2 linked regions of the Alligator mississippiensis genome follow. The protein of the gene in region 1 purifies or fractionates together with the protein of each later gene. This does not show direct contact. Links are inferred from orthologs where the notes say so. Each region holds a gene or a part of one and is shown on either strand. Other genes may lie near its edges.

Evidence for each region.
Region 2: the proteins of EMC1 (region 1) and TMED2 purify together in Homo sapiens (affinity purification with mass spectrometry; 3 studies listed by BioGRID and IntAct, with this or other methods). This does not show direct contact. The link is inferred for Alligator mississippiensis from reciprocal best matches to the Homo sapiens genes EMC1 and TMED2.

Annotation. Positions count from the first base shown.
Region 1 is NC_081836.1:4,885,799-4,900,954, forward strand, and holds the start of EMC1 (ER membrane protein complex subunit 1), read right to left. Parts: upstream 6,856-15,156; 5' UTR 6,826-6,855; coding exon 6,731-6,825; intron 5,147-6,730; coding exon 5,022-5,146; intron 4,383-5,021; coding exon 4,317-4,382; intron 3,810-4,316; coding exon 3,716-3,809; intron 3,105-3,715; coding exon 2,976-3,104; intron 2,285-2,975; coding exon 2,158-2,284; intron 1,668-2,157; coding exon 1,518-1,667; intron 1,034-1,517; coding exon 866-1,033; intron 332-865; coding exon 260-331; intron 1-259. Other genes in the region: MRTO4 (mRNA turnover protein 4 homolog), read left to right, coding at 6,969-6,996, 7,793-7,851, 8,431-8,534, 9,356-9,437, 10,686-10,753, 11,557-11,708, 12,498-12,574, 13,294-13,440; AKR7A2 (aflatoxin B1 aldehyde reductase member 2), read right to left, coding at 15,051-15,156. UniProt on the Homo sapiens protein: Part of the endoplasmic reticulum membrane protein complex (EMC) that enables the energy-independent insertion into endoplasmic reticulum membranes of newly synthesized membrane proteins.
Region 2 is NC_081833.1:5,923,787-5,939,402, reverse strand, and holds the start of TMED2 (transmembrane emp24 domain-containing protein 2), read right to left. Parts: upstream 7,263-15,616; 5' UTR 7,211-7,262; coding exon 7,031-7,210; intron 5,311-7,030; coding exon 5,118-5,310; intron 2,485-5,117; coding exon 2,377-2,484; intron 658-2,376; coding exon 533-657; 3' UTR 1-532. UniProt on the Homo sapiens protein: Involved in vesicular protein trafficking. Mainly functions in the early secretory pathway but also in post-Golgi membranes.

The sequences.
Region 1 (15,156 bases):
TAATCTGGAGATGAAAGGTAACTTTGGAGCTCACAAACCCTAGAAAATGGGAGGGTCGTTTGAAATCAACTTGTCACAGCCTCAGAGAGGAATACTTAGGGAGTCCAACCTCAAGCCATGTCTGTCTATGAAGCTTATGCTTGCCTAAGTTTTATCAGCTAGCATCAGTCCACTTTGCATAATTTTTGCACTTTGCTTGCATCAACTAGATCCTACATGGAATTTGGGTATATACCCTGTGCAACTGGGTTGTACTAACCACTTCATTCCTGCAGCTCAGGACAGCAGCCACAGTCTTCTCCCCAGTTGTTGCAAAACTCACCAAAGTTGCCTGAAAATGGAAGGAGCAGAAATAAGAACATGTTCAGAGACTTAAACTAAGCAGGAATTAAGAAGAGTGGTCCCCACTGTAGTGAAGTGAATTGAACTGCAGACGAGTTTGAGTGGAAAGGGAGCCAACAACCCTAACAGATTTCTTCATAATCCCCGAGCACAATCACTGAGGATTTACCTTATCTCTAATTAGCCAGAACAGGTTACAATCCTTTGTAGCCACTAGCCCACTGGAACTACCAGCACCCACAGTATTAAGGCTCTTTGCCCAGCCCAAGTCCGGTATTAGTAAACTTACTCTATGTTTACAACTGTCAGCAGCACAATGTCCCTAAACTGATTTTAAAAACAACATAGGTGAGATAACTGCTGCTGTAGAAGGCATAATTGAAACTCAGTGTATTTTTTCATAATGTTTAATGCGTGATTTATACAGGAACTTGTTTCCCCGATGAACGTAGCCAGTCCTACTCTCAAATCCACTGAAATTTCAACTTCAGTTCAGTTCCATCGCAATATTTGCCTTGTTTACCTGCTGGAAGTCCCGGAGGTGACTTAACAGGCCATGTTTGTACTGTAGCAATGTGAAGCGACTTGAAGATAGCTGCAGGAAAAATTGAGTCCGGGAGACACTGACAGGACTGGGTTGGGTGGTTAATATCCTCGGCTGAAATCTGTCAGCAAATTCCAGGTCAAGTGACTGGGAGAAGGAACAAAAAAAAAGGGGGAAATTGAAATTCTTAGACAACCAGAACAGATGCATCCCTTCCCCACAAGCAATCCAAGCTTTACAAAGAGTTAGGCCAGTGGTTCTGAATCTACCATGGCCCAATGACCTACCATTGAGGTAGACTACATCAGGCTATAGGTAGAGGCACAGTGAGGACCTCTGGAGTGTCTATAAGGTTCCCAACTGACACTGCAGGAAGGACCAGTTCCCATGACAAGACATCACAGGAAAAGTTGAAGAACTAAAAACATGGGCACAGAAACTACCATTAGATAGAGAGGATGCGATCTCTTCTCCCTCCACCAAATTATTCTGGTATGTATTAAAGTCTCCTCCCCCAGTACACACACACGCTGGACACTCCTGAAATTGGTGACCCTGACTTTGGTACTCTGGATTGGCTAAGTGAACCTCAAGTAAGCTGTGCGTGGAAGACTATTTGAGGGTGGCTTACCTGTAGCGGGATTTGTTTCATCTCGTGTTCAGTCTCCAGAGATAGAGCATAGAGTGAATGTGTATCGGTGTCCACACACACCAGCACTGCCTCCCCTATGACATTACAGGCACCACTCAGGCTCTTCATCCAGGGGGCTGAAACTCTTATCTGTTGGGCAAGAAAGATATGGCAGGTTTGCAAACCTACAAAGAAATTCCAAGGGGAAACTTGGCTGTGTCAGTTTGCTTCCATCTTGCTGGATAGCACGCGGTCCATGGCTTAGTGTGCACGTCAACACTTGTCTTAGTTACGCCAATAAAAGCCAACATAAAAAACCAGAAGAATTTAATTTATCAACCAAGAGTGCATCATTTTAACCTGTAACTCAAGGAGAAATTGTCATCAATCTGACACCGAAACCTAACTGCTCTCAACTTTGCCGTGAGTCCACCAAACTTTGAAGACATGCAGTTGTAAATTCAGCTTCTGGGTCCCCATGCTATTCCATGGGGAGAGGATAACATCTCATCCATGTATCATCAACAGAGTTAAACTTCCCTAGCTACCGTGCTAAAGATGAGAGTACTTTTGGTACACAGGACCCATTCTAGAGCCAATATGGTGACAAGAGTTCCCATCCTGAATCAACAAAATCTACCTGTTTTGAAATGTCTCCATCCTCCAGGCTGAAGGTCAGAATGTTCAAATGGCTTCGAGGAACAAATCCAATGGAATATATCACCCCGGTTCCATAGGAATACAACAGCTGGTACTGGGCGCTCTCACTGTGAGAAAAGCAGCAGCAACAAATCACGTTGTACAGCACTCAAACCTGTGCTTAAAGCTCCCTGTTCTACAGCCCTGTTCAATGTTGACATAAGCCTCACAAGGAAAGACTGTGTAAACCACCAAAAATGTAGTCAACCAGAAAAATTCTTCACATTGACACAAACATGCCTTAGGAATTCCTTTTCCTCAGTTTTATGTTCCAGTGCCCCATATAGTAGGCCCCGACATTCTGACTGGAAGCTGCTATGGTGCAAAGTGGCTTGCTATAGTCAATACAGTTCTTTTATTAGTAGCTTCCTGCTCCTGACTGATTTCTGTTCCACTGCCCTAAGATACTACATGACTGCTCTCTCGAGTCTGTAAGTACTGTATTATGCACAAATCACAACACCCATAGTTTATAATCTGCCAGCACTAAAAAGCCAGCAAAAAGAAATGTGCCCATTCATTTTGATGCACTAGCCCCCACTTCCCTCCCGATATTAGGCAGATGGACACTCTCTTCATACAGTCCCTCTCTCGAGATCTATATGCTCACAGAGATATAACAGGAGAAGGAACAAACCCCTACATTTGGTTGATGACATACATGCACAGTTAAAAAAGCACACAGGTACCACAGTAGAAAACAGGCTCTGAACCAGTGATCTGTATGTGATCCTCAAGTACTTTGTTTCAGATTTTTACCTTTCTGGTAAATGCTCCGCCCATTTCTGGTGTCCATTGGAAAGGTAATGAAGAGAGAGGGCAGACTTCTTCAGGACAGCCACGTACTTCGCCACATCCTGCAGACCTACTAAACTAGCCACCTGGAAACTAAGCACATATCAGAAATGGGGAGTGAAGTGATGAACACAGAGATACTACCTAGCTCCTGGAGCCATAGCAACCACTAAGTAACAGAAAACAGCCATCTTCTTCCCCACCACAGTAGCTATGACCAACATTTTTCCCCCCCAAAAAATAGCTACCCTCCATTCTGTACAGTTGACAGTGTAGAACTTTAACAGACAGCTCTCTAGAGATAGACACTATGGACTGATTTCAAAGTGATTTCAATCACAGTTTCAATCAACAAGCAGGAAACTCTAATCTAACTCAGGGTTTTAATTGTGTCTTGCATCTGACAAGCCCAGATACAAAATCTTTAGCCTCATTTTGATGTAGATTTAAAAAAAAAAAAAAAAGGCAGTTCACTCTCCTGCCAAGATTCCCTCCTCTTCAAGCTGGTCAGCAGCAAGAACTATACCAGGTTACTACAGGGTCAAGTATTAAACTTCCTTTTAACAACAAACTGCAAATTCAGCAGCCCTCCAATAATCCCTCGGGTGTCATATTAGCGACATTTGAGCTACTTTCCTTAAAATATACCTACAGGGAAAGCAAATTTCCCCTTCTGAATTAACGGTCTACTCAAGAGTTCCCACCTGCCAGTGTCCAGTGATGTTTCCCAGTTCAGTCCTCCAATGTTTGTCTCCCAGGAACGCAGAATACGCCCACCATTGGACACAGTAATGGCATCTGGAATTGGCATGAGAACAACCCTATTACTGTTTTGTTGACTTCATTAACTATTTCATTGCTAATTCTACAAATTACTGTTCTACTCACACCAGAAGGACAGTACAACACATCTGGCATATGCAGTTACCCAACTGTCAGCTGGTCAGCTGCACAGCAGTGAGGGTGGTCACGATGTAATTTCCAGACAATGCTGTGTGTTGTAAGTCACTTTATTCCTGGCACTAAAGGCCCAGGGGGATGAGCACAAATCATAAAAAACATTTTGTGTAGCTGTAGTCCTAGCCTGCACCACATGGCAAATCCAACACAGCAGAGCAGTAAGAAATAATGCTCATCCACACAGAAGAGGAAAGGCCAAGAAGTAAGTACACATTAACAACGTCTGTCCCCACCACAGGATCAAAGCCATGAGCTCTAGCACATTTAGCCCTGTATCGAATCCTCAGTTATAATTCTGTAAAACCAAACACGTGTCACACTGGAAGGCCTAAATGCTTTGCTTACCCTGTCCATGGATCAGCATGGCATCTATAGCTCCTTCAGGAGTCCCTTTATCCACATGGCGCCACACTGAAAGAAACAAGGCATCAAGTAAGAACAAGCTTCCATCTCCCCACGCGTACATTAGAATCGCCTCCATCTCCTTTCCAATGTCATGCTGATAAAAGGTACCAGGTGACAGTGCTACAGACTGACAACATCTGTTCAACCACAGAGCAGGTACAACATGAGCAACACCAACACAAACTTTCACATAACTGCCTCTGAAATGTGCCTCATCTGTAACCTGGAAGAATAAGTCTGAGGGATGAAAGAGAGGAGTTCAAATGTCATGCCCCATTTAGTTTTTGGTCCCACTATGTTGGTTAAGAACAGATCTAGATATAAGCAAAGGCACAGACATGCCATATCAGCATCTAATCAATTGATATTTGAAGATGGGAAACAAAGCCCCTGGGCATGAAAAAAATAAAACTGACAAATGCAGAGAGAGAAACATGCAGGCTCCTGTCTCTAGAAAAGCTAAAGCCATGTCTCATTCACCACATTTACCACTTAATTCATGTTAAGAGGGGTAAAGTTCAAGCTTTGAAACAAACTGTAATTTTTCAATTTGAATATCTATCATGGCTTAATTTTGGCCCCACATGTGCTAGTTGCAATGTGAGGTAGTAAACAGCCTAACATGTAAAGCCATGCTCCACTCACAGATTTCTCCATTTCTGGAATTCAAAGCAGCCATCACGTTTTTCTCCGTTGCCACAATAAGCTTCTTGGACCCTTGCGAGGCTTCCAAGGAGGCAAACTTGAGCTTTCCCACATACTGCTGTCTCCTAAGGAAGAAAAGATTCAGTAAAGGTGTAAGAAACAAAAAGAACGTATTGCACGAACCCCCTTCTTGGGGGCCTTCAAGAGGAGGCTGGATAGATATCTGGCTGGGGTATTATGATCCCTACACTCGTTCCTGCAGGGGGTCGGACTTGATGATCTGTTCAGGTCCCTTCTGACCCTAGAAACTGTGAATAGGAAAAGGATGATAAAAATTAGAGTACAGGTACTCCTCACTTATTGTTGTTCCGTTATTACGTTGCTGATCTATTAGGGAACATACTCGTTTAAAGTCGCGCAATGTTCAGTTATAGCGTTGTTTGGTTGCCGCCTGCTAACAGGTAACTACCGTGACGTAACTGGACTCGTTTAAAGTCGCATAGTTCAAGAGCGTAAGTACGACGTTAAGCGAGGAGCACCTGTACATGACTATAACACAAAAGACAGGGCAATCACGAATGCCATTGATGAGGACTGGCAGAGAGCAAGCAGACCGATTTCCTTCTTAGTTGTGGGGTGGAGAAAATCACTTCAGAGAGAAGCTGAACTCTGACGGCCTGGGACTCGATGCCAAACCCAATTCTACAGAAGTTCAGACTGAGCTAGAGTGACAGTTCAGACTTGAAAGACTTCAGGTACCCCTTGGAAAATGCAAGCTTTGTTTTTGGGTTTTCTTTGGGGTTTTTGTTTTGTTTTTTTAATACAGAAAAATTATAGAGCAATTCTTCTGTTGCAAAAACTCAGAAAAACCACAACGGGTCGGACTCCTTTTAACGCTATGAATCCCTGCGCTAAATCCCTGGGTTCACCTCGCGGATCGTGTTTGCACCCCTAACAGCACTGATATTGTGCAGCACCCCATGGCACCCTTTTCTGTCCTCACCGAATATTTCAGTTGAAATACTCGTGGCTATTGGGACATAACATTAACATGAGGGTACTTTTTAATTATATATTTTTTTGTCCTCATTGAATATTTCAGTTGAAATACTCACGGCTATTGGGACATAACATTAACAGGGGGGTACTTTTTAATTATATTTTTTGGCCCCACTGAATATTTCAGTTGACATACGTACTTGCGGCTATTGGGACATACCATTAACACAAGGGTACTTTTTAATTTTATGTTTTTATTCTCACTGAATATTTCACTTAAATCCTTGTGGCTAAATGGGACATAAAATGAACCTTTTTATGTCCCAACAGCCACAAGGATTTGATTGGGGCGGGGGGGGGGGGGGGGGAATTAAATGCACCACACTTAATGGGGTTGAAATATTATATTCAAACAAATGCCAAGCTTTTATGTGGAAAGAAATTATTTTTTCTATAATAAGGTCACACTAGCGTGTCCTTCCTTTACACTGTTTGCTTAAATTGAAGGAAAACAACCCAAAACAACGGCAGTGAACCCTGTCCCGCGGGCGTCACACCGTGCCAGCCTCCACTCGTGGTAGCGAGGCGTGTTGTGAGGCGAGGGCCGCTTACAAATGGATAATGAAGCGCTGGGAAACTGCCTCCCCACGTGTGTGCCGGGGGTGGCTGGTCCAAGCGCCCCCCAGCCCGTGTCCCGTGTCCGCACGCACCAGTCAAACTTGCCCACTTGGTCCTCGTACACGGCAGCCACCACCAGCGGCGACAGCAGCAGAAGCGGCACCCACAGGCGCGCACCGCCCGCCATGACGGCCCGCCGCGATCCCGGCAGCCCCCGCGGCGCCGGAAGCCGGAAGCGGGCGCCGCTCAGGCACCTGAGCGGGCAACCCCCGCGGACTCCCAGCAGCCCCCGCGGCGGAGGGGTCCTGGCGGCGGCGCAACGTGCGAGCCATGCCCAAGTCCAAGCGTGACAAGAAGGGTGAGTACCCCCCGCACCGCACCGCACCCACGTTGCGTTGAAGCGCGTTAGGAGCCGGCCACCCGCGTATTAGGGGGTAGGGGGGGACAACACTGGGTTGTATTCCTCGTTGTATCCCGCTTTGATTGATTGGGAGTGTGGCCAGGCCATGCTTCAACATGAGATCGGTGGGTTCATCGCAGCATAAGCGTGACGTCTGTCAGGGAGCCCCCCGGGAAAACCAGTCCGAAGCTTTCCCACGTAGGCGGTGCTGCGGCCGCCTGTGCGCTGTGTGAAAGCCCCTACCTCGGCGAGGTGCTCTCAGCCAGCTCCCGGCAAAATCCCCTTTCAGCGGCGATCGTGATGATAATTATTGTCATCATTTTCGGGCCCCCCCTTCTGTCCGGGTGAGACGACGTTCCGGTTTTGTGCTACCCTGTCCTCTCTTGATACGAAACCCCGGCGCCTTGATGTCTTCTGTTTTTCTCTTGAAGAATGAGAACACGTTTTTCTCTTCGAGACACAAACGGATGACATCAAGGCGTTCGGTTTCGTATCGACGGAGGACCGCCGGCCTGTCCTCTTTGACGGTCATGCCAGGGTCCAGGTGCCTGAGTCCAGCCTTAGGGACGCCCCGACCCTAAAACCTTGCGAACGGTCAGCAGGACACGGCTGTGGTGAGACTGAATCAAAACCGTCAGTGTCAGGTTGATGTCTAAGCGCCCTGTGTCCACTAGTGCACTTTGTAGTCCTGTTTCACGTAAGCAGCAGCCAGCTTATCGCTTCTACTGACGCAGGTTTTCTTTTCTTTTCCCAGTTTCCTTGACAAAAACCACAAAGAAAGGTTTAGAAGCCAAACAGAACTTAATAGAAGAGGTAAGAGCGCACGTCCGAGGAGCTGGGTGTGAATTCCTGGTGTGTGTTACAGAGAAACACAACCTTACCATCTTCCCTGGTACTGACTTCTACCAGGGTCCAAGCTGTGGAGTTAATGTATGGGTTCAGTTTAATATTTATGGGTTCAGTTTAATGTCTGATACATCTTCAATGGGAGGACGTTAAAGTCCAGAATATCTGATACATCCTCGATGTGAGGAGTTTATATGAAATGGATTTTTGGGGCTGGGACGTAGACTCGGAACTTGCTCCATCCACGCCACGAAAAGAAAATTATGGGTTCTCTCATATATTTTGGGAAATCCTATGTTTATACGGTTGTTTAATGCAGAGTCTGATAGTTTCCCAGTTGAACAGTTCAAATGAGGAAAGCTCACATTAAAAAAAAAAGTTGTATCATTACCAGTACCTGCTGGGGGACGGGGGGTTAGCAATGTGTGTATAAAATCCTAAATACTGCTTCTACCCCATTATCTTTATGCTGATTATGTGTATTGGTGTGAAGTGGGAAATCTTCTTCCACTGTTCATAGCAACTGCATGTCGTGCTTTCTTACAGCTGCGGAAATGTGTGGATACCTACAGATACGTCTTTATTTTCTCTGTTGCCAACATGAGAAACAACAAGCTAAAAGACATCAGAACTGCCTGGAAACACAGCAGGTAAGGAGCAGTTTCTCAAATGTCTTCCCTTGTGATTGATGCTTCTGCATGTTGCATTCTAAGTTTGCGCAGAGCTTAAGCGGGTTTCTGTACATAATTCAGGGGCAGGGACAGAGGCATGGGCTGCATGTGGTGCTTGTGCCAGGCAGGCCCAGCATGCTGGACCCAGACTGGACTGGATCGGGCCCATAAACTGGCTTCACGCACACTGTTTATAGTACATGACCTGGACCAGCTCCACAGGCTCTATGCGAGGCGGGGGCAGGTGCATGCTGCATACTGTGCCTGGGGATGGAGCTGGCACATGCGGTGCAAATGGGAAGCGTTGCCAATCCAGGGCACACACAGCAGGTGGGCTGGATCCAGCTAGATGAGTTTGACACCCCAGCTATAAAATATTTAATTTGGTACCATGTGACATTTTGATTTCAGTGTTAGCACTACACAATACCAAGAAAGTATGTAATATGTGTATGTTAAAAACCAGCCAGCTGACATCTCGGTGGGAATGGCCACTAAATGGAGATGTGTCTAGTGGAGTCCCACAGGAATAAGTACTGGGTTTGATTGGAAAAGATGCAGAGAACCATAAAAATTATTTAAAGGTCAGATAAAGTGTGTGTCATTCAGGAAAGGACTCTTGTTTTCTTGAAATTTGTTACAATAGGAGAAGTCTCGACACTCCCTTTCCATTTAGCAATATCAGAAAGGAAGACAGTTGTGACTTAGATAAAGAATGCTTATCTTGATCCATGATTAATTATCTCTGGTGTACTGAGATATGGAGTCTTGCAGTTTAGTTTACTTTTTTTTTTTTAAAGGATATTTTTTGGAAAAAATAAAGTCATGATGGTGGCCCTGGGCCGAGGTCCAGCTGATGAGTACAAGGAGAACTTGCACAAGGTAGGTTCTGACTCCTGGAGTTTTTGCACTTGTGTTTCGGAAGTAACCTCTGCTTTGTGTAAACCTCTAAGAGGGAAATGCTAGAACTGCTGTAAACAACCAGACTGGATCGGTATTTTTCCATCTGCCATAAATAGGGTTAATAATTAGATGGGAAGATCTTTAGGGCAGGGACTGTCTGCTCCATGTTTGTTCAGCACCTAGGGAAGTGAGTCTGTTACTGGGACACCTACGTGCTACCAGAAGAATAATACTACAAAGTCAGCCTTTCATTAATTTGTTGCATCTTCAGTTGAGTGAACTTTGACCTGGAAACTTTGGGATGATATGGCCCCATTTCCAGTCTGGGCAACCTCTGATACTAGCTGCCACCTAGTATAGCTCCACTCGCTATACATCAGTTTGAGTGCAGCGAAGGATTTATCCTTCGGTGTACATAAGGACAAGTGCACGAAGATGAAACAGGAATTCCCTTTCCCAGCCCCAGGACACTGAATAGGGTGCCAGGCTCATAGGATGTTCAGTCGGGAGACATTCCTTAATAGTACTATAGCAACTCTATCCTGTGTAATCCTTTTGCAGCAAAAATAAGAAGACTGTCCCATGGGAACTACAGAGACCCCCTATGATAGACAGGCTTTCAATTTTGTTAGTCCTGTTGCTGAACCAGGACTGGAACTGGTTCTGGGAATCTTCCCAGCATCCAGTATTCAAGCTTTAAAAAAATGTGGTGTCTCAACCCCGTGGAATTCTGCAGTTTGAAAAATTAAACTTGGATGCTAAGAGCCCCAACATGAGAGTAGATCTTAGTGACTTCCCAAAATCAGGTTCTCATACTTTTCCTTATGGACCTCCCAGGGAGCTTGATTTCCATCCAATCCCCCAACCCAATGATTCACAACCCTTTCTCTCCTCTCATGACTTAACAATCATCCTTCACAGCCTACTATGGGTATGTTCTTCTAAAGCGTGGCTTTCCTCAACCAGGGGAGAAGTTTCCTCTCAGGAGGAAAATTCATGCAATCATATCCTTAATTTAACCGTCCCAACATCAATCGCCCTGCAGAGGAATGCAAGAAACTTTAGGATTGTTTAGTTGCTATCTGCATATGGGAGGGTAGGGCCCTCTGTGATTTATACAAGCTCTGTCAAGTTCCACCACAGCCTGGATATATTCTTTTGTTTTGAAGGGTCTTTGGCACTGCTCATAAATATACTGCTGTATTTCATGTGGCTCTCATTTTCCAGATCAGCAAATATCTGCGAGGTGAAGTTGGTCTCCTTTTTACCAATCGTACCACAAATGAAGTGAATGAGTAAGTATTACTGCAGGCAAACTGAGCCTAATGACAGAGGGTCTTCATTTTACTGGGAATATGACTGTTAATAAAGCATCTTGATAGAGAATTAAAGTGCAGACCAAGAGCCTCTTCCCTCTCAGTGAAATGAAAGCTATTGTTGGGCAGCTGATCTCTAGTTCATCTTGGTGTAGATCTCACTCTTAGCCTTCAGGACATTTTCAAACAGCAGCAAGGCACCAGAGTCCTACCTCTGATAACAGAGAGAAGTGCAAACTGTCTTCCGGTGTTGTCTGACTGCAGAGGAGACAACATGGAAGCAGATAATCTGGCCTGTCATTCACTCCAGCCGGACTATACAGAGGAATCTGTTAGGGAATTATTGTGAACTCTGCTGGGAAGGGATGAGTTTCTTTAATGATGTTTTAGGGAACCTTGCGAATTTGCTCCCTACAAAGCTATTTTTTCCATCAAAAACAGGTGGAATATCAACAAACTCAGTTACCACACCCTTCTCTCCCTCCATCACTAACTCCCCAAAAAAATAGAAGGCTCTGCCCTCAGAGCCTTCTATAAACTAACAAAGAGCTAGAGGCTCAGGCAATAATTCTTAAAGCAATTTGCTCTCTTACGTGGAAGGCATGTGGTGCCACAGTGGTGAACATCAGTAGAAAACCATAATGAGGTGCTGCTTTTGCTCTGTCTTTGCTTCTTGGGGGTAGAGGAGGTACTAGTCCAGACTGATTCTTCCCACGTGAGACTTTAGTGAGTGGTGACTTCACAGACAGCTAATGCTCTTGCTCCCTGGTTTTCTCTCCTAGATGGTTCTCAGAGTTCAAAGAGATGGACTTTGCCCGTGCAGGTAACAAAGCACCATACACAGTGAGTCTGGACACAGGGCCCCTGGAGCAATTTCCCCACTCCATGGAGCCTCAGTTACGACAGCTGGGACTGCCAACTGCTTTGAAGAAAGGTATTTGGGGCAGGGGCCTTGCAGTTAGTCTACCCTTACTGAATTTTCCTTTAAACCTTGGTAGCATTTCTGTACGTGTCTTATACACGTGGGGTCTCACAAGGAGAACTAGACAACAGAAGCAGATGTTCCGTGGGGAACATCTGATATAAGTCCCCTTTAATTTCATATTTGTTTTTATATCATAACCTTCTGGCATGGGTGAGTCCAGGCACCTGACAAAGGCTCCATTCGCAAGGTGCTTTTCTTTTTCAAGCCAGTTGGCTGGTGACAACCTGACCTGACCTACAGATAACAAGGATTTCTCAACTGGAAAATAACATTTGTGTCATGCTATGTCTTTGCAAAAAATAACACATGGAGTATTTTGTTGATTTCCCTCCTCCAAATTCCTTTGGTAGAAACAGGCTGAACTGATATTTGCATGAAAATGAGTAAGCCATGAACAAGACTTCAGGCACTTGTTTCACATCTGTCATTTTCTGACTACATAACAATAGATCAATCACAGGGTTCACCTTTGTCTGTGACAGACTAGTTTCAAGAATTAATCTATTTAAAGCAGGCCTCGATCAAAATCAAACCAGTTTTGAAGGACAGAGGGAAAAATCAGAATAAATGGTAAACTTAAGTAAGAACCATCACTGAAACTGCTGGATGAAAGCGAGTGCAAGTAGCTTCATTACAATGTTGGTAGCAAAAGTCCCGGATAGGAAGTTTCAAGTGACCTCAGTGGTCCTCTGCCTCAAGTGCCATTCATCCCACCTTCCTTTTTCCATGTTCTTGCAGGAGTGGTGACACTGCTTTCAGATTATGAAGTCTGTAAGGAGGGGGATGTCCTGACTCCTGAACAGGCTCGTCTGTTGGTGAGTAACATACTTCCAGCACATCTGCACAGCTGCCATTCAGCAAAAGTCAGCATTTGTCATTATACTATCCACTAAAAGTCCTGCTCTGAATGCCAGGTTGGTTTGGATATGAAGATAAATTCTGTACCTTGAAGCCATTTGGGCTCAAGTGACATGAGTGCAGTTATGTAGGGACCAATCAGGATGTCGGGTAGCTACTGTTTGTTACAGCTTGATATGCTTTCTAAAAACCGTTTGCCCCGTAAGCAACAATGCTTGACAGGGAATTAATGACCTGCTTGAAAAACTGATAATCCAAGGGACAACTGTGGGAGCCCAGCTGCTGACTAATGTTCAAGAGGCAAGTTATTGCTTCTTTGTAAAAACAGAGGAAAATTACTAGGTTCAAGTTCCCTATATGGCCAGGGTATTGCTAAATGAGTTGTGCATAACAGCTGACCTCATTCCTAGACCCTAACCTTCACACTGTAGTCAGCTTACAGCAGGAATTATGGGAACAGCAATAAAAGTACTTACCATGTAGCAAATGGACAAAGAAAACTATCTGCATATAGGTGATTGTTGTAGTTCATTTGCCAACATGCCTCTCCAAAAGTGAGCCTTTTAATTCCTACCTCACTCACCATCCCTATTTAAAAGTGGCTTCTACTATAAGTGTACAATTTAGGCACAAGGAGACTAGAACAATTAGTGATGATTTCCTGTTTCTTTTTTAGAAACTGTTTGGCTATGAGATGTCAGAGTTTAAAGTGACCATCAAATGCATGTGGAACTCTGAGACAGGAGACTTTCAGCAGCTGGCCAAAGACACAGAAGAACCAGAGGAAATGGAGGAAGAGGAGGAGGATGATGACGATGACTAGCAGCAAGGCTACTGAAGGACACTAGAGACAGTGTTGTTCTGTTTTAGGGACGATCAGTAGAAGCCTATGTTTCTCTCCCAGTTGGAGCAGGATGAAATTGAATATCTCGGACTTGTTATCTATCACGGAAGATGTAATTAAATTGTATATAAAAAATTACAGTTTGGACACTTTCAGTGCAGCTCATCACTGCTTGGATGGGAAACCCTGAGGCTGAGAGAGAGACCTTACAGAATCTGAGAACAGGGTAAAGATCATGTGGAAAATGAAACCCTTCCCTATAAATCTATTTTTCAGACTCAGTGAGTATGTGCACAAATCTACATTGCTACAATTTTTCCTCCTCGGAGAACTGCTTAGAACTTGTTGCTATGCAGTAGAGATGCAACTTCTCTCTAGAGTCACCCCGTAAGTCTATCAGTTTTAATGGGGGAAGATGCCAAACAGCTGTCACCACTATAGTTTCTCCCTGCTCCATCTCTCAGGCTATTTTAATTACACTTTCTCAAATGACTTGGTTTCCTTATTTTAGAGAGAAGGAAAATTATTTAAAACTGTAGGCAGTGGAATAAATGTTACTATTGAGGCAGAAGGGGAGGACATCATTTTGATGATACTATCACCTGACTTAATTATAATTAATGCATTTCACACATTAAGGGAACCTGGGCATAACTCCAGCCTTTACTGGTGGCATGCTGACAATTCAAAATGCCCCTCTAGGCAAGATAAAGTTAGTATTTCCCTCTTAAGCCAGGACCTCAGCCTAATGTCCAAATATCTTCCCAGTAGAATTGGGAGAAGACAATGGTATACAGCCATTAGTTACTGAACAAATGTAATGGTTCCTGTGCTTGAGTCTCCCGACAACAAAACAAAGATTGTTCCTTCAGTTATGCTCTTAAACATGTTTTAAGACGCCTGTAGCTGAGGCAGCAAGTATGTCAGCTAAACCCAGCTTCAAGAGGCCTAATTAATTGTTTAAAGGTCAGCCCTGATCGTTGAGAGGCTTGCTAAGTGTCACAGCTGGATTGGAAACAGAGGGCAACTGTGCATGTCCAGTAGCTATAACTGAAAATTAAATTAGCAGTTAGCAAAAAATAGCTTTCAGCAAACCTTCAATACAAAATTCACTATTAAACCAACATAATCCAGGTTAGAAAATGCTTTATTTTGACAGCGAAGACGCTGTCCAGATTGGAGACAGACAGTTAATTTCCACTTTAGTTCTCTTAACTGGTTTAGGATCCGTTCCTTAAATTACTTATATCACTGAATCATGATATGGTGTGTGATTGATTAGGACTGGCAAGAGCTGCAGTATTAAGAGATATTCAAGGCATTTTGGCCTTGAAAGAGGAAAAAAAGGTCAGACACTGTTGTGGTCCGTGAACTGAATACCACCAGTGTTCAGACAAGCTAGATTATGATCACATAAAAGATCTAATCATGTAGGAAAAAAACACTCGGCAGCACCAGGTGTCTATCAGGCAGAACCCATAGGACCAGGCCGGAAAAATCATCTGTCATTTTGGGAGGGGCGATGTGGTTTCAGACCTGGAGAGACTTTTGGTTACCACTCCCCGTGCAGACTTTCCTACCACCATGATCTAGCGGAAGTAGTTGGGACAATCATGTGCAACGAGGTGCCAAGCTTTATCAAATGCTTCCACCACAGCTGGGAGTAGAGGGCCCTCTTCACTGCAAGTGAGGTTC
Region 2 (15,616 bases), on another chromosome or scaffold:
CATACTATAGTGGAGTTCTCAGCTGTCTTCTATTCCTTATCAGAATAAAGTTCTGTTTCGTTTGCTCCTTCTTGGCAGTACATGGAAGCGAAGAGGGGTTTATTTTGATTCCATAACATCTACTGCGGAGTTAAAGATACGAAGAATGCAAATAGTCACGTTAGGGCCATGTACCGTTTCCCTAGACAGGATTGCAATGGATTATGAAAATAGAAAACACAAAAGTTAGAAAAGGACAGTAACATTGCTTATTACTACAGGAGAATTATAGCATTTGCAGTCTGTTGGACCTCGCTTAGCATACAGACTAGGCAGAGTTCAAGTGAAAAAAAAAATTATGCCAATTAAGTGACAAGAGATTTGAGCACAGCTTTTGCTACAGAAGATATATAAAACCATGTCATTTTAACTAGGAAGGAACTTAAGCAAGTTTTATAGTTCAGAAAAGAGGGTTTAGAAACTAAGTGACTTTTTTGTGACCAAGATGTTTTGGTAGACGGTGAATTGAGAATTTGGGATCAGAACAGTTTTCTTAAACAACTCTTCGGACTTCAAAAAACCTCTTCAGGTAGTAGATTTGTCCCAGTGTCATGGCAACTAGTACAAGGGCTTCAAAGAATGACCAGAGGACCACTCTGCTGTTTGTGTTGTCATTAACTGTTGGAAGAAAAGAAAAAGGAACAGAACAAGTATATGACTAAAACATTTAAAAAAGCCTGGTGTAGGACACTTCTCTAACGTCTACCAACCTTTAAAAGGCAGACATGAAAAAACACACTGGGAAGACTGTGACATGGTAGAAAAAGGTTAAATCCAACAGACATGTTTTGGGACTTCTATCATAAAACTGCAGCTACTGAAGGAATTAAGGCCAAAAAGTAGATGTAGTATTTGCCAATACAATGTCAGCTCTCATTTGATTCACACTGTTCAGAGGGCAGAAATTTTCAAGCTAAAACTCAAAATCACAAATTCCAGCATCTGCATAAGAACACCTACTAACAGACTTGCTCACGTTGTATGGCAGCTGTACCTAGTACCTTACTTCAGCTATATTCCTCTACCTTCTCCCTCACCTTCTAAACTAGGAATTACTTTTTTTTTTTTTTTTTTAACCTCAAGGTCAAGCTGGTATACCAATTCACTCTCTCAGGGACTAGTGTTTGCTCTACAGACTTAGTGTAGTTTCCAGTAATAATAATCATAGAAGAACAAGGGAAATATAGCCATCAACCAATAAAAGCTGGTTGGTATGCAAATGAATTAATGCATAATTTGCTGTAAATATCATGTCAAGAAGCTGTCACCTTCATGCAATTTGTAGACTGGTGTCATCTTGTAAAAACCAAGCACTTGCTGGCTTCATATTGTGTGACACATGATTTGCCTATTTAAAACATTCATAGTCATACAGCCTAATGTTATACCATCTAATTTCTATATCCTCTTAAAAAAGGGGGACAGGCACCATCACAAAGACAGCAAATGGTTAGGGCTCTCAGCAAAGTCATAATGCTTTTACAGTAATCACTGTTGTCTGCATAAAACACCAGGATACACTTTTGCTGCCTATGCAATTCTGAACATGGACTACAAGTGTCAAAACCAATGTACAGCATTGCAATAACAGAAGAATTTAACTGAGCTAATCTAAGCAATGCCCTCTCAAACTTACTCTTGATATTTTCCCCTAGCTTGTGCTTATGCTTTTCTTTGAAAATTCCTTCGCTAGGCAGTTCATAATCTCCCTGCACGAGGGGAAGTCTGTATAAATATACAGAGCATATTTACAAATTCAGCACTAATCCAAGTGGTGGAAAAATAGCTCCCTCTTTATTTGCGCCAGGCTTATTCTAATGCGTTCCTTAGCTTAGCGCTAGCAAAAGTGAAGACTGGATCATACCATGGCCCAAACCTAATTCACTGTACTTGTGAGTAGTAAGAATTTCACTATCAAAAGGACTACTCACAAAATAATTTGGCCAATTACAGTAAGCCCACTTTGCTGTGCTGTATTTCAAGGACAAACAGATACATCTGTCCAAACCCTTTCACCAGGAAATAGGTCACTTGTTTTCAGACCTTCAGGAACCTGCCATTGCTAACTATGAATAGTTCCTGCATTACCTTTCAGATGTTGCACCACAGGAGCAAATCCATTTTTTTTAATATTAAAGCACCTGATTTAGCAAGAAGGTCTCAATGTGTCATGATGATGTCTCTTTCATTAGCAAGAGGACGACCTTTTTCAGAACACTGTCAAACTCTCAAATACCTGAGGTAGTTTCTTGATTGTTTCCCTAAAGCTCAACATCTTCTACCATGCACAGCAGGTTAAAGGATTAAACAGCATGCAAATCAAACAGAAACACATACTTGCTCTATGTATTCTCTCGCGAACTTCCATGTATTCCTGTTCATGCTTTACAGCCGTCATGGCCACTGCTAACTCATTAATCATCTCTTCTAGCTTGTTCTGATGAGCTGCAGAATAATTCAAAAGGTGTCAGAGTTTGTATCATAGAGATCTCTCCTTCCCCCCCCCCCCCCCAAAAAAAAAAAACAAAAACAACAACCCTCCTCCTGAAAGTAGATGAACAGGTATATTTGACTCCATACTACACTCAGGGTCCCCCTACAGCAGAAAGCTTTCCACCTTGTAGCAAAAAGAATTCTGTAAAGATATCTGTTGACGCTAATGGGAATGATACTTCTATGAACCTTTAATATTCAAAGCATAGTTCGACCGATTTCAAACTATCTTTACAATCCTATTTTAAGTGGACCACTTTCTCCATGATGTCTAGCTTGGAGATGAGAGCAGAGGCAAGTGTTTTTAAAGTCAATACTGACAGGCTGTCCGTAGTACAGATACACTTCCAGAGAAGCAGAGTACAAAATTTAACCACATGGAATCAATTTAATATCATGCCAGTTAGTGCCTATCCCATAAAATTATCTTCAAATAAATAATACAGAATTTTAATGCTACCTTCCTGACAGCACAGTGACTGACAATTTAATTTAATTCAATTCATGATGGTGTCTAAACAAAATGAATTTCTGAAGATATACACTTGGCTACCTCTCTGACCTTTGTTTATAGTGGATACATGAGGTACAAGGACATTAGTGCTCAAGAAAAACCTCTGTCTTTTCAAATTCAGAACACTGGCTTTGGATGCTTCAGCAAGTGAAAGAATCAGGAGATCCAGGATTCAGGGGTTTACCTGGTCCACAGTCCAATTGTTACTTGCCTTCACTCCTCAGACTAACAGCCAACTCTATAAACATATAGACTGTGGAAACTTATATGAGAGTTTTCTAGCACCAAGAAGAGTTTCAGTTCACTGATTCAGAGGCTCTGAACTCCACTACTAACTATTAGAATAGCCTATAAGCAACGTATAGGACTTTTTTTGTTTTGTTTTTTGGGGTTTGTTTGTTGTTGTGGTTTTTTTTTTTGGGGGGGGGGGGGGGGGGGGGCCAGGAGGAAAGGAATACTTGACCCCAGGGAAAACATACACTGTTTCTGCATATAACGAGCAGAGACTTTAGATCCTACTTTAAACAGCTATATATAACTCCTTTCTCTCTCTCTCTCAACAAGAGAAGGATTACAACTGTTCAAAATCCACACTTCTTTAAGAAATAATGAAAAAAATTATACAAGTTATGAGCCATTTTCAAAAAAAAATCTTTATAAAATATAGCAATGCTAACCTTACAGTTATCCAGGTACACCACCCACTGCCAATTGGTTACTGAAATATGGGTAGCTTCTTATCAAGAGCGGAGATGAGAGAGGCCTGAGGAAGGGTACTGTGATACCCAAAAGCTTGTGTATGTCTATACCAAGCATACAGACATCATCCACAAGAACTCTTTACTCTATCAAATGTCTAAACAAGATGACAGATACTTACAGGCAAGCACTTCCCTTAAGCAAGAGAAACTAGCCTTGTATCAGTATTCTGTACAATAGGTGTGCCAGTCAGACTTGTGGGAATCCTTTAACTGTAACTTTTATGAATGAGAACATAGGCAATTAGGAAGTTGTTAAGTACTTGGTGGGGAGGGAGGTGGCAGGGGGCAAAAAAGCAAAACCAAGCTCTCACATCACACATGGGTTAAATATTTGCTAAAAGGGGTACTGAACTGCTAGAAATCTTCCAAATAATTTTACAATTCGATCTATTTACCTCAGAATTCAACTATCTCGTATGCCATACTCAACATTTTTCACTTGCAGGTTATGCATTAGCTGTAATATTACAAGGAAATTATTCTTCCAGCCCTGCATGCCCTTAATCCTCCAAACCCACTTTAATACCAGAAAACTAACAACTATGGCATATCTAAAGTAACTGAATGTTCAGTGTTTTAATTGAATTCCACTTTACACAAACTCCTGAGGATGTTTGTTTCCTTGATAGCCATAAATAACCCCCAGAAGACAAATGCTCATGAAGAGTTCCAGGGTCTTATCCCAAGAGATGCTGTTGACCTAAACCTCTCAAAGGAAGCTGCAGGTGTTCAGCATCACTCAGAATCAAACCTTACTTTTGTGTAGTTTAATAAAAAGACATTCTCATGCTACAAACAGATGTTAAAGAGAAAAAGCATAAGTTAGGTGTTAGTGAATAAATATATGCAAAAGACAAGATGCCAAGGAGCTTTCAAAAAGCTGTAAACATACCATCCCAGGTATCTCCACCACCTAGGGGAAAGTGTAAGAGATGAACACAAGTACAGGGCAAAAGGCTGCAGATAAAATAGTAATTTACATGGCTAAGAGAAAACTACATATTAGCACACTTATCCAAAGACCTCAACTCATGTACACAGTAATCTAGATACTGCTGAACGTGAACTGGAAATCAGAGAATGAAACTGAGGAAAAGACTTAAAGGTGAAAGCATTAGTTTCTGCACATAGCTGAGCGGTTCCCTGGTCACTTTAAGTTGCTTAGTGTAATCTAAAACACACTGTGATCCTTTTTAGCTGCCAACTTAATAGACTGAATGAATGTCTTGGCAGTCTGAGATCTCTAGCAGGTGTTTTGGACTGATGCACAAGGAAGTCAGAATCGTTTCCCTTCCAGAAGCTCTCCTCACCTTCTGTCTCCATGTCTTGCCCTTTTGGAGCTTCTCCAATATCAATAGTGAACATCACTATTTTAGGAGTCATGGTGGACATTCTGTTGCTGAAGCAAAACTTGTAAGTTCCATCCATGTGAGCAGCAAATGTGTATTTTCCACTGGATTCTCGATCCCCTTTGTAAATCCCTTTATTATCAGGTCCTGTAATCTGGGGGCAAAGAGATCATTTCAGGACAGGCGCACAATAGTGAAATCCTGAATTAAAAGGAAATAAAAGCAAACAAACTAAACTCAAGACATTCTCTCTAGATACTGCAATCCTAGATGATATTTCCCCAATCTGCATCAGAACCTCTCAGAAAACACCTATTTAAGAAGCTATGCGAATGCCTCTCTTAACAGCCAAGACATGCAAAACTCTTGCAGCACTAGCAAAAAAAATTTGTAGTCAGTCATAACTGAAGCTCCAGTCTATCTACAGCCTTGCAAGTTAGTAATGCAAATGACTGCAGAGAAAATACAGAAACCTTACGTCAGAAAAAAATACTTATTGTAATAAACCATTATCATTCTTAGGTGTATATTTCTATATTGTTGTAGAGAAATAGAACCAATGTACTGACAGCTACATCCTTAAGACTCTTGTCCCCAAAACTACAAGCACTGACCCCAGTTTCTTGTTACATGTTGTCTCCGATTTAAATTGGATTTGATAATTTTCTTCGCTTTCCTCTCCAAACTATGGTGTAATACTGCTACATGTTTTTTAAATACAAGTGTCATAAACTTCTGTCCATCCTGAGAGAGTACCGATTTGCGGTTGATGAAGCAATATCATTTGCAGGGGCAGTTGAAAAACATCCCATGAAAAGAATGTTTAGAGTCCATCAGACTCCAAAACAACGCGAGAGAAGCTTTTGTTGGGGGGAAAAAAAACCCCACAAAAAAGCCTACCGTTCAAAGGATGTCTGTCAAAACTGATTTCAAATTAGACTCCCATTCATGCCTCAAGAGAGAAAACCTTATGATCACCCAAACTAATCAGCACTATTGTACCAGAAGCAACCCCAGGCCGCATCCTCTGCTAACTTAAGCCTCATCTCCAGCACTTTCACAAGACGATTGCAGGGTTGAGCGTAGAAGCCAAGTTTTTAGAGAACTATTCTGTAAGCAACGTGACTGCACAGAGCTGCCCCCTCTCTCAGGGCTTCGACACCGCGACACAATAAAAGGCAGTTTGGCCTCGGGCTGCCTGCTCTGCAGAAGCAACTGAACCTTTCCTGCGGCTCGGGAGGCTCTAGTCACCAGCAGCCGCGCCGGATGATCCGACCCTGCTTCTGCCCAACAGGAATTCAGCCGACTGGCACGAACAAATACATAGAAATTGCAAGCAGGCCTCCACAGGGATCGCGCGAACATCCCAGCAGCCTTTGGATTCGCCTCGACTGCAGCCCCACGCTCTAACCTGCCGGCCCCCAACGAACCCGCCAGCAGGAGCGGCACCCGGCTCCTCAGCAACGTGCTCCAGGGGGCTGGCAAACTCCATCTCTCCTCCCGCTCTCCACACAACAGCCCTTTCCTTTCCACCTTGGAGCGATTCAGCAGCAGCGCACGGGCCTGATGCCCACAGGCCTCTTCGCACGTGGGCCCACCCCAGCCACTGAGCCGCTCTGTTGTGGAAGGGGGCACTCCTTATGCCGAGAGGCCTCTTTGCACGCGGGTCTCGGCCCCCACAGACGGCCGCGCCCCTCCCGCTCCTGGGGACACGTAGAGCACACAGCCGGGACGGGAGGGAGGGAGATGGCAGGGCAATAAGACGGGCGCCAAGCAGGGGGAACAAAGGAGCGCGCTACCCGGCGCCCACGGGCTCTCGAGCGAGTCCGGGGACCCGGCAGACGGCGCCCGGCGCCCCCCAGCCCGGCCCGCACCTCCACGTCGATGTCGAGGAAGCCGCCCTCGGCCACCTCGAAGATGAGCCCCATCTTGGTGCCGGACGGGACGCGCTCCAGGAAGCACTCCTCGGCGTGCGCGTCGATGCTCACGAAGTAGCCGGCCGCGGGGGCCGCCAGCGCGGCCAGCAGCGCCAGCAGCGCCCGCACCGGCGACATGGCGGAGCCCAGCGGGGACCGAGCGGCGGGACAGAAGGGAGGGGGAACTTCCGGCCCAGGCCGCGCCCCTTCCGGGCACGGGGCCGCCGCTCATAGGCCCGGGTGCAGCCGCTGCCACGTACGACACTACGCTACGGCAGCCGGCGAGGGACGCTGTGAAGAGGCGCTACCCGAGCGCGAGGCTGAGGGATTCCGTGCAGCGCAGGGGGCGGGGCGGTAGCCACGTGAGGACCGGACGGCGGGCAGAAGGGGCCAAACCGCGCAGCGCGGATTTAAAGGGCTCGTGCACTGAACAGCGCCACAAACTTGAGACTGGGCCCGGCCTCGAGGGCTCTGCAGTAGCAGACCCCTGGGCTGGGAGGTGTCGTCGGAGCTGGACCAGGTATGACCTCCTGAGGTCCTTTCCAACCCTCATTTTCTATGATTCTATAAAAAGACCCAAGCAGCTATCGAGTTAGTGCTTGAAAACATATAACAACTCCAGAGCTGGTTTCAACCCAGTTTTAATTTAAAGCTGTAACAAGGCCCTGTCTCTCCCTTGCTGGAGCAATGGAGAGAAGGAGAGGGTGAGCATCTGCTCACAGTAGCGACTTCTATTTTGTTGGCACTTCTGAATTCCACTTCTTAAGAGGAAGATAATGAAACAACAATAGTCACAAAATAAGAAAGGAACAAAAGACTGTGCAAGTTTTTGTTGTTCTTGAAAGGCTCTAATACAACAACGTGATGAGACCAAGTTCCCAAATACATAAATGGGGAGTGGCCAAAGAACCCATGCGATCAGGAACTGCATGGAGTTAAGCTTTCCCTAGCAACTTGCATGTTTCTGCTGAAACTTGTATGCTGTTTTGCCTGCATTTTATAACTAATGGAAATGAGAATATTTGCCGCCTATCACTGAAGGTGTAGTGAAGCTCAGTGTCAGCCAGTGACCGCCAACAAGGGTCTAATGCCGCAATTTCCAGCTTGGGTGCTGCACTACCCGGGGGGGCCACCAGATACCTTGAAGGTGCCTCCAGGTGTGAGGAGATAAGCACAAACTGAGCCTTGCCCCTGCCCTATCCCTACTGCCTGGGCCTTCAGCAGGGAGGTGAGGACTGTAATATATAAATTGATTGTTTAAATTTGGAATTAACAAGTTATTGAAAGTGCCTTGAGATCAGTGAGGCTGAAAACCAGTTCTCTATTTGCATGAATCCTCCATGGAAAGTGTGTAGAACTGGCTGCATTTGTTACGCAAGTTGCAGACTGGGGCTGTCGGTGCACATCGAATAGAAAATTAATTGAGAGCTTGATGTGCCTGCCCTGTGACAGGTCACCCAGAGCCCCTTGATACAATTAAATTACTTTACCTGATCTTAGTAGGCTTTGGATCCAGCCCTAATATGCATTGTTTCCACAGTCATTAGTGTGAACTAGTGAGGTTCTACTACACTTTTGCCACACAGCTGGGTACGGTCCCCAATTACCACCAGCCTATTCTGTTTGCTACTTTTCTCCCTCTGCAAGGATGCACATCAAGGTTGGGCAGCCCTTTCACACTGACTCTGGGTTTGGCACCCCCCTGCCCCTTCCAACCCCTTGGGTTTCTTTATCCCAGATATACTCATTTCTGAGATGCCCTGGTATTGCCTTCCATGTGGTCTTACATTACTATTGCTTTTCATGCCTTCATAAGCACTATATTCATGGAAGCGATGACTGCGCTGTTATTCACTCTCATGCATTTTCTAGGCTGTATTGGGTCTTATCTTTTCCAATAAAATGTTAATGAACATACACTGTGGAAGTGGATTTCTGATGAATAGTCTAGATGGAGTTTTTTTGTTACTCTTGTCATGCAAAGAAGTAGGCTGTCAAATCATTTGGGACTGTTTTCTTTGAGATACACATGTATGGGGAAGTTGGGTGATTTTACCACTCGTGATGGGACATAACGTGATGCTGATAACATGGAATGAATCAGTTTATTTGCTTATCGGACTTCATTTATGTCCAAACCCTGCAGTGTTTGGATGTAAATCATGGGGACAAAAGAGTGGAAGAGGCCTCCCAGGCCACTGAGTCCAGGCTCTTGCATCCACAGGTAACTATTAGTTCCAAAGAGTCCCCAGGAACATCTGCTGCAGCTCTTTTGATGTACTGCAGTCTCAGAGTACCCCCAAACCCCCAGCTCTGATGGCCTACAGGTAAAGAACTGGGGAAGAAAAGAATGCAAATAATTTCCCATAGTACTGAGGAAAGCAAAAACCCTATGTTCCAACTCCATCTGAAAATACCTTCCTGATGAGCTTGGATAATTGGTTTGGACAGACATGCCACTAGACTTCAAACTATCTATTCCTCTCAGGCTGATCATACATGCACATAAAATGCTGACTATCATCTAGAAGCGGTAACTCACACCCTTTCTTTTAAACTCTTCCCCCCCCCCCAATCCTATCCCATTGTTTTTGCATTTTGCCCCACCCTTTTACCATGAAGTGTAAGAAATAAGTGGCAGTGTGATGTTTGGTTTAAGCTCTAAAGCATTCGATACACTATTAGGGGCACTGTAATGTTCACACAGTTGCAAGCTAAAAAAAATTATTAACAAGTCTGCTGTTATGTACACACATCCATATAATTGAGAAAATGAAGAGAAAATTACCTCCAGATTAGATTAGATTCTTACTGCTAATGTTAGTAAGATTACTCGGGGGATTATGTTGTGGTATTTGACAGCTTAGACCCAAAAGGGAATAAAAAAGCATGGATTAATCCAGCAAGAGAAGGAAAGCATTTTCAACCAGGGGGTCGGGGCACCCTTGGATGCCAACAAAACCTCTTAAGAGTCCCCCCAAGACGTGAGGCGATAAACAAGGCGTAAGGAGATAAAGAGAGGCTAAGTCAATGAACCCAGGCCTGCCTGAATACCTTCCACCCTTCTGCGAGTAGGTGAGCATTGATTGTAATGTATAAATCAGTTTCTGAAACTGGGTGCTACTCAGTTCACAAAAGTCATGGATGGTATCTCAAGGGGGCATCTCTCATTGCACAAGTCCAGAAAGGTTGAGACCCAATGTTCTAGTATGCATAAAGACCTCGCGACTGTTGACAGTGGATTTATGACCCAGTCCTGATATCTTGTTCTGGGCAGACCCAAAGCCTCAGACCAACTACAACTTCTTCCATTCAATAATAGGCAAATTTTATTGATACACAGTGATAGCAGATAAGAGTAGTGTAAGCAAAGCAAACAAAATACACCCCCACCCTAGTTCTACTTATCTACCAGTCCTGAGGATGTCACACAGGAAAAGTAAAGTATATCTGGCTAATACACAAACACTACCCTGTGGTTTTAGCTTGAAGTATGCCAGATATCAGCAGCCTAGAGGTCGAAGGCTGATGACCACTCCCCACAATGGGGTGGGTGAAACGGGCTAGTGGTGTGCCATCTGCACATGGTGGCCTCAGGATCACTCCTTCTGTATTCTCTCTCCTCTGATGACTCTTCATTTCTGGGTATCGTCGGTTGGTTTCCCTGTGGTCGTCATACTATCCACGTTCTGTTCTGCCAGTATAATTATTTGGTTCCACAAACCCATCATATGCATACAACCTTAATTTGGTCATTTACCCGTGTCTTAATTTGGGCAACCCCAACCTAGTTTGGTAAGTCCACCAAAAACAGAATTCCCAGGGGTTTTATAGCTGGGCACTATACCCTGGCGCCAATGCAGCAAGCCTATCTTTTGTTATGGAACAGTTTGGATGTTCTTAAATTCCCAGGATGCATACACCTGCTTGTCCATTGGCCCTTGGACACGGTATCTGCCCTGAAGGCTATGAAACTGTCACAAACAGGCTTTTAGAAACCAATTAACCTTTGCCAATTAAGCCTGAACCACTGTTCCAATGCAATACCTACTCTAGCTACAAGCTAGTTCCTAAAAACTAATCTCTATCATTTTCTAGTCATCACTGACTGCCACAGATGCCCTTGTGCTTCCTGGTACAAAACTGGAACCTAAAAAAATTGACAGCAGCAATTAAGCAGGTGGTGTTCCGATACCATAACCCACTATATCTCATTGTCTTTGTTGTCAGAGAAAGTTGGCTGTTTGGCATAGGGACCATCTTGCTCTGTGCTATTAATAGTCCCCAGCACACTGAAATTCTAATTTATGGCTAGGGCTCTTACTTCTCATCCAACGCCTCCTGTGCTAACACAAATAGTAGTGGCAAATACTTGAGAACTTTTTCAGGCAATACATAGTTAACTTACAGAATTCATTGTCACAGGAGGTGGAGGCAGGTAGCATAGCCAGGTTCAAAGGAGGACTGGATAAATTCACAGATGATAGGGGATAGATCACTCTACAGAATTGGGTTCAATACTCTCCCTCTAAAGCATCTATTTCTGTCACTGTCAGAGATGGGATACTGGGCTAGATGGACCATTGGTCTGACCCACTATGGCACTTGGGTTCTGACACTACACATCCACTAAACTACTACCCACCAGGACCCAGCGACAGAAATGGTCTCATCCAGAAACACTCACTTAAGAGATGGGCCCTGATCCTGCCTGTACACAAGTTCTTTACTTGGACTGTCTTCTTCAAATTATTACCTAGATGTTTACCCAAGACAGGGCTGAAGTATTTTCTTATCCACCAACTAGGAAGTGACTAGTAACAACAAAAAGCTTGCTGTGACAGAGCATCAGTTATGCCCTGCCACGAGAGACTAAAAACAAGCAGATTCCATGGAACAAGGAGTCTCTGCCTGCTAAGCTACTTACCAAGGCAGGGTTTGGAGCTCCAGACTAGTTACCAGGGCTAGCTGTGGTGTGGAAAAGTGGCAGACCAGAAGTTATGCTGATAGGCTTAAGCAGCAAGGAGAGTTGAACGGTGGATCGGGCAAGTATGCGTTTTCCCCAGAGAAGGGAAGCAGGCAGGAGTGAGTCTCCTACAACTGCACGGAGCTGCAGTGTCTACCTGGCCAGACCAAGATGGCAGCAAGTAGAAGAGGGAAGATCTGACTTACCTGGCGTGAGACTGAATGCAAGACGGTTCCTCAGCATCCAAAGGGGATTCTTAGTGGTAACTGAAGGTGCTTCGGGAGAGTTACCTGGAGGAGGGAAGAAAACAGGGCACAGATAAGAGCCGACCCTGTGACCAAGGAATTCCCTGCCAGTATGCAGATAATTAAGGGCCAGAGGCACCGGGGACCTCATGGGTTGAGTCCTTTTCTGCAGCTGAGAAGGTGGGAATAAAAGGGAAGAACCTCAAACCCAGGGGAATAGCAAAGAAACCTGAATAAGAGGGGTACCAAGACCAGTAAGGATGGCATTTGGTCAAGAAGTGATTCATTTTAGATGTGGTGTGGCAGGGCATAACCTTGTTTTTTTTAGAGGCTAAAAAACAAGCACATGCCACAGAATGGAGAGTCTCTGCACGCTAAGATACTTACCAAGGTGGGGTCTGGAGCTCCGGACTCTAATTACCAGTGCCGGCTCGTGACATGGAGAAGCGACAAACAGGAAGTTATGCTGATAGGCTCAAACAGCCAGGCGAGTTAAATGCCAGGTTGGGCAGGCTTGTGTTTTTCCTAGAGGGGGGAAGCTGGCAGGGGCGAGTCTCCTGCAACTGCACAGAGGTGCAGTGCCTACCTGGCCAGACCGACACCGCAGCAAGTAGAAGAGCAAAGATTTGACTTGCCTGGTGTGAAACTGAATGCAAGAGGGTTCCTCTGCATCTGATGGGGATTTTTAGTGGCGAGCGAAGGCGCTTTGGGAGAATTACCTGAAGGATGAAAGAAAGCAGGGCACAGATAAGGGCCAACCCTGAGAAGAAGGAATACCCTCTGAGTATGGAGCTAATTAAGGGCCAGAGGCACCAGGGATATTGATGGGTAACTAACGGTGCCAGCTGATACCCCGAGAGCCCTATCGCCCATGAGTTAAGTCGTGGAATATTTGCCTAGAACGAATTCAGAGTACTCTGGGAAATACAAGGGAATAAGCAATATTGCGACTTACTAGACTGTGAAGGCCCTTTGGGAGGGTGTGTCCTATCACTGGCTACGCCTGCCATTTCAGACACCAAAGACTGAGCTAGAATCTCTCATTAAGAGCGTAAACAAGGTCCTCAGTGAAGAAGGCACCTGGGAGAGACTGGGCCAGAAATGTTAAACAGAAGAGTAACAGAACTGGTGGACCAGGAGCAAATGGATTGTAGATTTGGGCAACTAAAGGGGCTCCAAAAACCCATGGTGCATGCAGGTGAAAACTGGCTCCATGATTATGCCAGCACTTTGATTCAGGATGCGCAAAACTATGATTAGGGAAGGAATAATTGATCCGTGGGAGGGTGAAACAGGCAGGTTGAGCAGGCGTATGTCTTCCCCGGAGAGGGGAAGCAGGCAGGGGCAAATCTCCTACCACTGCACGGAGGTGCAGTGCCTACCTGGCCGGACCAAGATAGCAGCAAGTAGAAGAATGAAGAGTTGACTTACCTGGCGTTGGACGGAATGCAAGAGGGTTCCTCAGAATCCAAAAGGGATTCTTAGTGGTGAGTGAAGGCGCTTGAGGAGAATTACCTGGAGGAGGAAGAAAACAGGGCTGAGTTAGAGTATCTGATTAAGAGCATAAACAAGGTCCTTGATGAAGAACACCTAGGATGTTAAGGCCAGGGTATGGGGATGGAGGAGCCCTGCAAAGAGGCCAAATGCCAGATAAGTTGCAGTAAGATCAAGCTGATCTACCTCCTCAGTTTTACATCTTTCTTTTTGTTTTTTGGTTTAGTTGGGGGGGATGTTGTTGACAACAAGGCATGGCGGGTAAGTTCCAGAAAGGGAGACTATCAAGTCCTGGCAGACTGACCGCAACATTTGAACATCAGAAGCCAGATCTTCTACAATTGTGTATGTCTATATCAACCATATAGATCTCATCCACAAGAATTCTTTACTCTAATGTCTAAACAAGCTGAAAGGTACTCACAGGCAAGCGCTCCCCTTCAACAAGAGAACCCAGCCTTGTATCAGTATTCTGCACAATAAGTGTGACAGCCAGACTTGAGGGAATCCTTTAACTGTACGTTTATGTTCTCATCAACAAAAGTATTAGGAAACTTAAGTGGGGGGGGGAGGGGGGGAAGAAACCATGCTCTCACATCACATGTGGGTTAAATATTTGCTAAAAATAGGTACTGAACTAGTAGGGATTTTCTAAGTAATATTATGATTTGATCTATTTACCACAGAATTCAACTACCTAGTGTAACACACTCAACATTTCTTATTTATAGGTCATGCATTAGCTGTAATGTAATAAGGAAGTGATTCCTCCACCCTTGCATGCTCTCCAAACCCACTTCAATTACAGAAAACTAACAACTATGGCATATCTAAAGTTACTGAACGTTCAGCATTTTAGCTGAAATCCACTTTAACCAGCCAACTCAATGGACTGAACAGGTCTTGGAATTCTGCAATCTCTAGCAGGCGTTTTGAACTGACATGCTAGGAGAGCAAAACGATTTCCCTTCCAGAAGCTCTCCTCACCTTCTGTCTCTGTGTCTTGCCCTTGTGGTGTGGAGCTTTTCCAATATCAATAGTGAAGTTCGCTATCTTAGGAATCAGGGTAACTCCGATTTTGTTGCTGAAACAAACAGTAAATGTGTAGTTTCCATCGGATTCTCTTTCAACTTTGTAAATCACTTGATTATCAGGTCTTATAATCTGGAGGCAAAAAGATAATATCACAACAGGCACACAATAGTGAAATCATAAATTACAAAATAAATAAGGAGAAGCAAACGAACTAAAGTCAAGACATTCCCTCTAGACACTACAATCCTAAATGACATTTTTCTTCCAATTTGCATCATAACTCAGAAAACGCCTATTTAAGAAGCTATGTGAATGCCTTTCTATCAACCAAGATGTGCAAAACTCTTGCACTCGCAAAAAAAATTGTATTGAGGTCATAACTGAAGCTTTAGTCTACCTACAACCTTGAATGTTTGTAATGCGAATAAATGCAGAGAAAAATACCTCAGAAAACAATGACTTAGTGTAATGAATCATTATTGTTCCTGGATGCATGTTTCTATATTGTTGCAGAGGAAATGGAACCAGTGTACTGACCACCATGTCCTTAAGGCTCCTGTCCCCAAAACTAGAAGCGCTGATCCCAGTTTCTTACCCTTGTTACGTTACCTTCTGTGGTCTCCAATTTAAATCGGATTTGATTGTTTTCTTTACTTCTCTCCCCCATGGTTTAACGCTACTAAATCCTCTCCCATGGTCAGAGCCGTCCCTCGGGGTGTGCAGGGCAGCCTGTGCGGGGCTGAGGGGTGGCGAGCCACCGAAGCGCAGAGCTGGCGGTGCGTGGTGGGGCCTGTACAGCACTGA